Lonchura striata: one gene and its partners. The protein of the gene in region 1 interacts with the protein of each later gene in a biochemical or structural test. Links are inferred from orthologs where the notes say so. Each region holds a gene or a part of one and is shown on either strand. Other genes may lie near its edges. The genes, in order: NPR2, NPPC and NPPA.

Evidence for each region.
Region 2: the proteins of NPR2 (region 1) and NPPC form a complex in vitro, tested with the Homo sapiens proteins (3 studies listed by BioGRID). The link is inferred for Lonchura striata from reciprocal best matches to the Homo sapiens genes NPR2 and NPPC.
Region 3: the proteins of NPR2 (region 1) and NPPA form a complex in vitro, tested with the Homo sapiens proteins (3 studies listed by BioGRID). The link is inferred for Lonchura striata from reciprocal best matches to the Homo sapiens genes NPR2 and NPPA.

What each region holds. Positions count from the first base shown.
Region 1 is NC_134642.1:39,675,731-39,679,477, reverse strand, and holds the start of NPR2 (atrial natriuretic peptide receptor 2), read right to left. Parts: upstream 2,431-3,747; coding exon 1,707-2,430; intron 1-1,706. UniProt on the Homo sapiens protein: Receptor for the C-type natriuretic peptide NPPC/CNP hormone. Has guanylate cyclase activity upon binding of its ligand. May play a role in the regulation of skeletal growth.
Region 2 is NC_134612.1:18,242,178-18,245,924, forward strand, and holds the start of NPPC (C-type natriuretic peptide), read right to left. Parts: upstream 2,695-3,747; 5' UTR 2,666-2,694; coding exon 2,573-2,665; exon of another isoform or gene 2,474-2,572; intron 1,145-2,473; coding exon 818-1,144; 3' UTR 805-817; intron 1-804.
Region 3 is NC_134626.1:5,503,300-5,507,046, reverse strand, and holds NPPA (natriuretic peptides A), read right to left. Parts: upstream 2,197-3,747; coding exon 2,077-2,196; intron 596-2,076; coding exon 278-595; downstream 1-277.

The DNA of each region.
Region 1 (3,747 bases):
GCCTTGGACACAAGTCCTGCTGGCCCATCTGGCTCCATTTATCTGGGCTAGATGTCCTTCCTAATGACACAGCATCTCAGAATCCATTAAGAAGCATTGCAGAGTGGCTGACTCCAGGATTGATACACCCTGCTCATCAATAATGAAAGAGCATCAGGCTACCCTTGCTCTCCAGCTGCCTCAGTAAGCCCTCCATTTCCTCCCGCTCCCAATATAGCTGCTCTCCTGGGGCACTCGCATGGCACCAAATTGATTTATCCCTCCATCAGCAGGGTGGGGCTATCACAGCCCCATCCTGGGTGTGCAGCAGGGACAAGGCACAGCCTTGGGGCGCCCAGGTGCCACTCTGGGGTGTCTGTCTGAGCACAGTACAACCACATAGGTATGTTGGCATCATGCTTCTCTAGGTATGTAACCACAGCTGACGCTGTTCTCCAGAGAGCTGCATCCTCACTATCACCTTCAGCCTCCAAGGACATGCCTGGGTCACGCTGATCCTGCTAATACAGAGGCTGCCCCTCACAGCACGTGTCCCACCAAGCTGGGGGTCTGCCCCAGCTTTTGTTAGCAAAGGTTGACTGGACTGGGGGCCTGGGAGGGAGACACTGTGCCTCCTCCTCCTGCTGCATCCTAGCCCCTCCACTGATACAGGTTTTGGCCTGGGGAGGGGCTCAGATTCTGTCTTGTCCCCTGTGAACGCATCTCCTGTGCAGGTCCTGCTGCTCCTCTAGCCCCACTGTGACAAATCTTCTCAATCCTCATGGCACCCCACACAGACCCCATTTTGCCCACCTCTCCCTGTGCCCCACATAAGTCCCACTGTGCCCTCAGAACATCCTCATGCCCCAGACGGGTCCCACTGTGCCTCCAGCCCCTCCTTGTGCTCCACAGGGGTCCCACTCCTCCTCTGGCCCCTTGCAATGCCCTACCACAGGTGTCACTCTGCTCACTCCCTACTGCATCCCACATGAGTCCCACCAGATCCTTGTTCCCTCGCCGTGCCTCACAAGGGCGCCATTTTGCTCTCGACCCCTCACAAGTCCCACTGTGTCCTCAGACTGTCATGGTGCCCCACAAAGGTGCCACTGTCTCCTTGGATTGTTGCTGCACCCCACATGATCACACTCAGTTCCCATCTCCTTGCTGCACCCTACATGTATCTCACTGCCCTCTCTGACACTTGCTGTGCCCTGTGTGGATCTCCATTGTCCCCAATCCCTTGGTGTGCCTCAAACAGGTCCCACTGCCACCCTGGTCCCTTTTTGTGCCACACATGCATCCCACCGTATTCCCAATCCTTTGCTGCGTCCTGCAGCGGTCCCGCTGTATCCCCATCCCCTCTTTGTGCCCCAGATGTGTCCTGCTGTTCCCTTAACCCCTTCCTGTACCCTACATACATGTCGTCCACGGTATCCCAGTCCCCTTGCTGCACCCCATCCTTCCCCCTGCTGTGCCTCAGACGGGTCCAATGCCCCCCACCGTCCCCCACACAGATCCCATCGCACCCTCAGCCCCTCGCTGTGCCCCGCGGAGGATTTTGCCTCCCCCCCTCGAAGCCCTACGCGGATCTCCCGAGGGGAGCCCCCTCCGCTCTCCCTTCCTCTTCCCACTCCCACACCGCCACCCCTGCTCCCCGGGCGCTCAGCCCGATCCCGCCCGTGGTCACGGTGTCCCCCCCGCACCCCACGCCGCGCCACCCCACGCACCGCGTCCGTTGGCTTTGATGAAGTGGACGGCAGTGTCGGGGCCGCCCTCCTCGGGGGAGTAGATGTGGACGGTGACAGTGAGGTTGTTGCCATCCTGCAGCTCCTGGTAGACACCCTCGACGGTGAAGTAGTAGGGTCGGTCGTCGGTCTTGCGGTCCACGTAGAGGAGCACGGCGCGGGCGCTCCAGTTGAAGTGCGCGTGGAGGTGGGAGACGAAGGCGCCCAGTTTGGGTGCCGAGGGCCCGGTGCGCACCGTCGTGCTGTAGTGCTCCCGTTTGCGGCTGAAACCCGCGGCCACCGCTCCGCCGGTGATGAGGGGCAGCCGCCAGTGAGAAGCGAAGCGCCCCACCGACGCGGCGGGGTACACGCAGCCCGGCCCGAACAGCACGTCGGGGTCGTGGTAGAGCTTCAGGTCCACGGCGTTGAGCGGTGCCACGTACTCGGAGCAGGCGCCCTCCAGCTCCGAGCTCATGAACTCGACGCGCACCGAGAAGGGCCGCGGCAGCAGCGGCGGTTCGCCCCGCTCCAGCGCCTCCAGCGCCAAGCTGAGCGCCGGACCCACGCGCGGCCAAGCCCACGCGTAGCTCACGTTGCGCTCCGGCAGCACTACCGCCACCGTCAAGTTGGCGGGCGCCCCGTTGGGGGTCGCCGCCCGCCGCCCCGCGCCCGTCGGGACCGGCAGCAGCAGCAGCGCCAGCAGCGGCAGCGGCAGCGGCGGAGCCATGGGCCGCGCTGGCTCCTCCGCCCCGGCCGCCGCCCGCCGCTCCGGCGCCCCCGCCGCGCCCCCGCCGCGCCCCCGCCCCGCCGACCGCCGCCGACCGCCCTCCCCCGGGGGGCGGCGCCGCCGGTCCCCGCCCGGCCGGACGGGCACCGGGATGGGCGGCACCGCGACGGGGCGGGGGGCGGTGTCCCCGGAGAAGGGGGGGGCTAGGGGTGGGGCTAGCGGGGAGCGGGGCGCTGGTTGGGGTGGTGGGGGGATGGTGGGGTGTTCGGCGTATCTCGCTTCCAGACTGGTGAAGTGTTCCCCAGCGGGGAAGTAGAGACCGCGGTCCGCAGGTCCGGCGGCCACTAGTAGGCAGGGACTGAGGGAGGGGGTGCCCGTGTTTTAGGGGGTCCGGGAGGGGAGGTAGGGAGGGGCATCCGCGTTCGGGGTGTCCCCAGTGGGTGGAGGACCAAGGGACGTGTACTTTGGTTCTGGTGAGGTGCAGTGAGGGGAATCGGAGAAGAGGGCATCGGTTTGGGGCAGGGGACTGGGGTGTCCGGCTTCTGAGTGGAGGGGTTGGGGCCGGGCTCGGAGGCCACATCGGGGGATAAAGGGAGGGAGGTCCCCAGAGCCTGTGGCTTCCAGTGGGCAGGGATTGAAGAGTGTGTACGTGGGATCTAGGGTCCGTGAGGGGAATCGGGGAGGGAGCATTAGAGTTTGGAGCGTCCCCATCGGGTGGGGGGTTCAGAACAGAGAACAGATTCTCTGTTCGCGGAGCTGCAGTGAAGGAGTGAGCATCCAGGTTCTGAGGTACCCCAATGACTAGGGACTGGGGAGGGGATGTCTCTTGCTGGGGGTCCCTAGGGTTTGGGGAAGTCAGTGGGGTGTGGGGGATGTGCATGATGGGGCAAAGGGGTAGCCTGGGGAGGGCTGTGAGGATGTGAAGGGATACACAGCTGTAGGGTACAGCCAGCTGGAGGGGGAGGGAATATCCTGGGTGTGAGTGTCCTCACAAGGCATTTTTGGGAGGTCTTAAGTTCTCGGATAAAGTAGGAATCAGGCTCTGAGGAGGGGTTTCCCGGGATCTGTCTGCCTCCCTTGTGGGGGCCACCAGTGCTTAGGCTGTGGGTATCTCCCGTGGTGGAAGGATAGGAGGTTGGAGATGTCCTCGGGGATTTGGGATGCAGGGAGGCACCTGGGGATTTGGACCCTGAGAACTGGGATGCCCTGGGGAGCCCGACGTCCCCGAGACCCAATGTGTTTCCCCAACAGTGGAGGGTGCACTGAAACCCGTGCCGACACGATCCCTGACAGGGCAGGGGGAGGTGAGGGCAGGGG
Region 2 (3,747 bases), on another chromosome or scaffold:
GCTTCCCGAAGTGTGAGTTCATCTGTGTGTGTCCTGCTGGCAGGGCCAGGCCAGAACCATACCTCACTGTCCCCAGCACCCGCAGGGAGACCTGGCAGGGGAGGCACTGCCATGTTTTTCCCAACCCATCACTCTGGGGAAGCCACTCCTTCACGCATTGGTTGCTGCACAGTGGCTGTGAAGCACTGTGGGAGGAACTTCTCCCAGCTTCCCATAACTTTCTCAGATACAAAACTGCAGTTAGGAAAGTGCTACTCATGGCTGTCACCACACCTAGAAGACACCTGAGGAACTTATGTGTTGTTTGTCCTTAAAAGCACTGGAGCATGGCTGAGACAGGAGCCTCACTAAACTCTCCAACTGCAGGCACACAGGGGGTACCCTGCCCTCCTAACACCTATCCATAGCTCACCTAAGTGTTTCAAGCAGAGAGGGCAACTAGAAACCTGTGGCTGCACCAGAGCTCCTCCTGCATCCTCCCCGGAGCCCAGGGATCTAGCTCAAATTAGGGGGAATCCAGATTGAACTGCTGCAGAAGCAGCTGAGGTCTCTGACCCTTCTGCAGGGTAAGGCAGAGAGAGGGCCGGTGGATTCCGGACGGGAATGTAATAAGGCCAGCTTTGGGGTCCTCCTCTTTACCTGCCAGCAAAGCCAGAGGTTGCGAGGCTCAGCGGGACGAACACCTGCAGTCCCGTGCGCTGGCATCTCGCGTTCGCAGGGCAGCGCATCTTCCGCACGCCCCGCGGTACCGGAGCGCGGCCCCCGGCCCATCCCGGCCCCGGCCCGGCCCGGCCGCGCACTCACCGCCAGGGGTCCCTCAGCATCCGAGGCCGCTCATGGCGCCGATGCGATCCAGCTTGAGCCCGAAGCAGCCCTTGCCCAGGCCCTTCTTGTGGAGGCCCTTGTGGCGGCGGCCCGGCGGGTCCTGCAGCAGCCGCGCCCAGCCCGCCCGCGACCGCGCTTCGGCCCGCGCCTCCCGCGCCTCCCGCGGGCCCGAGCCGCCGCCGCCGCTCCGCTCCTTCTCCCGCTCCTTCTCCCGCTCCTTCTCCCGCTCCTTCTCCCGCTCCTTCTCCCGCTCCGCCGCCTCGGGCGGACCCGCTGCCGCCGCCGCCGCCGCCGCTGCCGCCGCTGACCCGCGGGAGGCCTGTGGGGGGGAGAGGGTCAGAGCTGCCGTCCCCAGCGATCCCCATGAGAGTTGGGGACCCCCTGTAAGGGACGCGCAGAGGGGTCGGTGTATCCCCCCTGCGATGCAAACTCGCGATTGGGTCTGTGCCCGGCAGTGCAGTCCATCACCCCGCTCTGGCTGTGGCCAGAGCATTTTCTCCCCTCCCTAAATCTGTGCTCCCTTCCCTGGGGTCAGAGCATCCCCCTGACCCACACCGTAGCGGTGTCTTCCTGTCCCGGTCATTGCATATCCACACCACCCCTCCAAAGGGCTGGTGGTGCTGCACACCTCAGCTGCGCTTCTGTCACTATCCTGTCGTCCCATTCCATCCCGTCCTCCCCCAACCCATTATCTGAAGGGACCTGAAAGCCGGCAGGTCCTTTCATTTCAGACCCCCTCGGTCATTGCATCCCTCATCAGTTTACACCAGTTTACAGACCTCTTCAGATTATGGGGAGGGGTCCTGCCCCACAGATCCTGTGCACCACTGCAGACTGTCCCCAGCAGTGGTGGGGAGATCAGGGTTCCTCCTCCCTGCTGCTCCCTCCCCTAGTTAATGCTCTCTGTGTCCTCCCAATCCTCCAATTCTAACCTACAATAAGAGGGACACACCTCCTCCACACTGCTCCCCCATCTCCCAGGCCTTCCATCTCTCTCCCTGCTCAGAGCTGCTGCCCACCAAGCCATGGAAATGTTAATCCTCATTCATTTTCCCAACATCCCCCTGTATCAACACTTTTTCTTCAGCCTGCACCCCAGTGCCTTACAGGGACACTGCCACTCCCATCCCACTGCTGCCCTGGGGCACTCGTCAGACCGTGTCTCCATCTCTGTGCCAGACCTCAGGGCAGTACCACCCAGTACAGTAGTACTGGGTGCCTCGGGCACATCCCTCGTCCTCAGCATCTCGAGAAAACCAAATCCCTGGGACACTCTCATTTGGGGCGCCCCTTCCTCATGGGACACGCGGGGAAGGGACACCCACCTCTGTGCCCCTGCCCGGCCTGTTTGGTCAGGACTGCCCGGCGGGCTCTGCTCTCGCACCCTGTCCCACCGTGCACCTGCTGCCTGCCCCGCTCCGGCTCTGCTCCCTCCCCCGTGCCCGGCACAGAGGGGTCTCCAGAGTGACTCCGGGGGCACACTGCCGCCTCCCCTGCCCCGATCCCGCGGGCTGCGGGGCACACCGCGTCCCACTCAGCCTCTGGTATGGGGCGACGTCCCCGGACGTTCGGGACAGCCTGGAGAAGCAGGGAGTCCCCCTTGCAGTCAAACAGCCCATGCGGAGAGAAGAACCCCTCTTTGCACTGACTCTGGCACCCCACAGGCACCCCACGTTTCCCCCTGTGCCGTTAGGACTCTGAGCGGGACCGGGAGAGGAGGAAGAGCCGGAGAAAGCTCCAGCCGTACCTTCTGTGGGAGCTGAGACGCCGGCTTCGCCTCCAGCCTGAGGGAGAGCAGCGCGAGTAAAAGTCCACCAGCCAGCAAGGGTGAGATCTGCATCCTGCGGGGCCGAGCGGCAGGGGGGTCGGGGGGGGCAGCGGGGAGCCGAGGGCAGCCCCGGGGAGAGGACGGGACCGACGGGAGTCAAAGTTCAGAGCGGAGCCCCGAGGTCCCTCCTGCCGCCTGCGAAGTGCCGAGCTAGTGAACTTGGGCTGCTTTCTGCTTCATTCATTTTATAACCCAACCTGCTCGGTGATGTCATCTAAATACCCAGGTCCAACCCGGTCTGCACTCCACAATAGCAGGAATTTAAAGGGGGGGGGTGGTGGTATCCCCTCTCCCCTGGCAGTAACAAATGACACAAGACAACCAGCTCCGGGAGCTGGAGACCCGAAAGGGAAAGCGGGGGGCATTTGGCTTGATGCCCCCGCCCTCCCCCAGACGCCCCCGGCCCCCCTGCAAGCTGTCTGCCCTCCCCTTGCCGGCTGCCCCACCGCCCCTCTGCTCCCCGCACTGCCCTGCTGACCTCCCGCGGCAGAACACGGGCCGGGCGGGGGGGGGTGGTCCCGGTGCGGGATTCATCCCAAAAAACAGGAATAAGCACCTTTTTTTTTTTTTTTTTTTTTTTTTTTTCTTCCCACATCCAGGATTAGATCAGACTGTGCCTCCCAGGTCTCTACTTGGCAGGAGCAGGGCCACTGCCTTCTGTGACAGGAATATGGGGGACACAAAGAGATGGAGGGTACAATGGTGCTTCTTGAGGGCACCTCAGTGGGTCTCTTGGCTCCGGGACTGACCTGCTCTCTCTGCTTCTGGGGGATCTTGATGGTGTTCCTGGCCCTGGAGATGGGGCTTTTCAAGCACCCTGGGGATGCAGGGTATAGTTAGTGTCACAGGGTCCCTTGTGGGGACAGGACCTCACTGGCTGACCCATGTCAGGGCTGTGCAGCCTGGCCTCCCTCTGACCTGCTCCCAGAGCTAGAGGTTACAGGAGAAAGGTGTGATCCTGGGATTAACCCCAGGAGTTCACAGGGCCTTTGAGGAGGCCCCTTGCTCTCAGCCTTCCCCTTTCCTGGCTGGCAGAGCAGGATTTGTGTCTCTGCTGCTGCTGGGGCTGGCACTGGGCAGCTCTGGAGCTCTGC
Region 3 (3,747 bases), on another chromosome or scaffold:
TTCATCTTGGGAGGAAGGGGGTACTGTAAAGCATTCTTCAGAGCAGGTTCTAGGGAGGTTGATCCTAATTTCTCCGGGAACCTGCAAACCAAACATGAAATAAATGTTACTAAAATCTGGTTTTGTGTCACAAAATCTCTGGTACGTGTCACAATTGAAAAACCAATACTAGCTTAAATACTAGGCTCAAATTAATTCCATTCTGAAACTGTGTCTTCTTAAAAACTTAAATAAGAAGCTGCTCCTTCCCTGTCCCTTGGCACGGACACGGTCTGTGCTATGCGGTGAAATGGCTTAGACAGGACTCACCGTTGCAGCCCATCCCACTCAGGGAGCCGATCCGATCAATCCTCCTGCCAAAACAGCCAGAATCTCTCATCATCCTGGGCATCTGCAGCCCCCTCAGTCTCTTGAGGAAGGGGTCCCTGTAGGACAGAGGGGTGTTGGGTGCAAGCCTGGGTTCAGCCTTCTGGTTGTCACTGTCATCGGCGAGTTCCGACGGGATCTCCTCCTGGGTTTTGGGTTCTTGCAGGTCAGGATTGGACTCCAGGGCTTCCATCATTGCAAACTTATCCTCCAGTCTTTCCAGCAGAGCCTATAAGAGAAGGATTAAATAATGAAATTCCTTGTTTTGTGGTCATTTGCTAACTCTTCCAGTCATTCTGTTCCGTTTTCATCGATGGTCCCATAGCCCACCCTAGGGAGACTGACAGGTTGGATCCCAGCCTTCCTGGTGGTCGTTGAGTTCTGTCCTCTGCATTATATCCCTATTCACAGTAATTCCATCTATGGGACGACATAGCTTCACCTTGTGAACTAAATGAAGCTTCTTGCCATCATGTGTATCTTACTGGTAAATTTAGAAGACATCTTGGCAGAGAAGAAAATGCAAGATATGAGTTTCACCGGGTCCACTCAGCCCACTGGTGGTACAGTCTGAGAGAACCTCTAGCCACATAGCCCACTCCCACATTCTCTGAAGTTGCTGCTTTGTCACCCCTGGCTATTTCAATCACATCACTTGGAGAAGCTCTAGGTGTTTTCAGTATTTTCTGCCCCTGGGATTACAGGATTGCTACTCCTAAAAGTAACTGAAAATACGTGTATGGTAAATTCATGCCTGCTGTATGATTGCTTCCTGGGTACCATTCTTGGTAATTTGTAAAGCTTTGTGTAACTGGGGTCAGATAACCTCCTCAAGGGCACCTCATCCAATTAGAGGAATTTAATTGCCCAACTCTAGAATATGAATATAGAGGAATGAGCCTTGTGGCTTGCCTGATAGTGAGTGCATTTGGAAGCCACTCTTCCTAGCTGCTGGAAACAGCCCAGAGGCAGCTTTAGCTTCAATTGTCCTTATAAGCTCAGGGAGTTTGTTCTTAGGCCTGAGAACAGCTTTGAGAAGCTGGTTACTGGTACCAACCAGCCCAAGGAAAGGTTTGAGTTTCAGATCCCATCAGAGTCTCAAGCTTGTACTGTGCTGTAACAATGGATTTTCTCTATTATTTTTTAAAATGCTTAGCGGTAATTTTATAGCTCCGAAAGCTTTTCTAGATGAGCCACACTAAATGATTGTGTTATTCCTCTAGTAATATTTATAAAAGTTTGTCTTTGGGTGCTCCACTTTACCTCCTCATCTTTCATCCATACACAACCAGATCTCTCAAATTCACAAAGCTAGAGCCATATGGAGCAGGGGTATACATATATCAGGACCCCACCTCAGAGTTTTCTATTTGTTCCTATGGAGCTACTCTGATGATTTTTTCCTCCCCTGGAACTTAGTTCCCAAGAAGATTTATCTTTAAAAGAAAAAGAATCAAAACACCAAAGCAGACATCCTACAACATCACAATTTGGTTCCCACAACTGCCCAGGAGCTCGGGTGAACCCAGCATGGGAGGATATTGCCCTGCAGAGCTTCTCTGAACCCCTTTGAAAAGCTGAGGCTTTGTGCCCCAGCATGTGATGGCTGATGCATTATTGCCATGCAACCATGCAAAAGGAAGGCAAAGCACCACCTCACACTCTGCTAAGCACCCCAAAAGTTTAACCTTGAAAAATGAGATTCCTCACCTCCATGCTGGCCAGTTCTTTGGCAGGGCTGAGGCTGTAGATGGGGTTGGCTCTGCTGGGCTGGAGCTGGATGAGCAGCAGCAAAAGGAAGCCATAGAAAAATGAGCCTTTAGTGTCCATGGCGCTGACTTTGTTGGGAATAGGGAAGTTCAAGCTGTTTCTTCTGAGATGTCCCTTCAAGTCTCTTTCTTCCTTGTCCTGTTGTGTCTCTTCTGAAGCTCATCTTTTATACTCTTTGGGTGATCCCTGCTTCCTAGGTTATCAGTGGGTTTATCTTGGGCACATTCCAGTCCCACTGGAGGCATGCAGCTCTGTCAAGGGAAGATTCCCTTTATTAGCTGTCATTAGGCAGCAGCTGCTGTTGCTGAGGAATGTATGTCACAAGTCAGTGATTTCATGTCACTCCCCCTCCTCTTGATACCAGGCGCTCTGATTACATAGTCCAGTTGGAAATTCTTAGCAATTCTCTTTCAAGAGACCCCTATGGTCAGATTTACAGAGATGGGAAACAATCCCAGAACTGCTCTCAACTTTGCTCAATTTGAAGATTTCCACAAGGAAATGGCCTTTTACAGGGGAAACAACGAGCTTTCAGATGAGTATTTGGTGAAGAGTCAAGAATGAAGATAAATCATCTTTCAGGACACCTAAACTATTGTGCACACTTCCCTTCTATATATGGAATATGTGCAGCTACCGCATACCAGAGAGTGTGCCGAAAATCCCAGATTTGGGCCACTTTTCCCATTGCTACTGAGGTGATATCACCACTGAGATTTTGTATTTGTGTGTTACCAACAAGAGCAGCACCTCGATCTGCACCTCAGTGCTGTGCCTGTGGGGAGAGCCTCCAGCCTCCGTGACAGCCGGCTCCGGCACCGCTGAAAAACACTAGTGTTTATAAAAATTCAATTTCTGGGACTGAAAATGGGATTTCTGTAAGCATTGATGGTAAGGCTTGACCCTGCATAAAGAAAATTTAAAGAACAGGCAGCCAGTTTCAGCAATAATCTTATTTTACCATCATACAAGAAAGAAACTTGTTCAATGAGAACTTAAATAGATAGCTGGTATTATTCAGAATCTATCCCAAAGAAAGAATGGATGGATTTGTATATATGTGTGTTTTGTGAGGAGTTAAAATAAAATCTGAAATATATTAAAAACTAAAAATATTTCTTTAAGTGCTGAATGTCTTAAAATTAGCTAGAAACTTCCTATTCTAGATGAGAAATTATGAAAGTACAGAAATACTTCTGATTTCTCTTCCGTTTTTTGTCTTTGTACATATAGTATAACTAAAAATCAATCTTTTTACAGGAATGCAAGAGAGTTCTAAATCACGAAGCAATGGCTTTTTTTTTTTTTTTCATTTTCCTAATGTTTCTTGTTATTTTAAATTGAAACAAAAACAAATGTAGGGGTAAGTTGAATGTCAGTCTAGTAATAATTTGTTGGCTTTTCATATGAACATAGATCTTGAAAGAATCTTCTGAGTACACTTTCAAATTAATAATAAAATGGTAAAGTATTTCCCATGTCCTAAATGTCTTAACATGGGTGTTTATGTACAAACATGTGCACATACTGTTCACATGATCAGCTACCAAAATTATACTAGAAAGGACATTCTCAAGGTTGTGAAGTCATGCTCAAATGCTATTTCTTCCT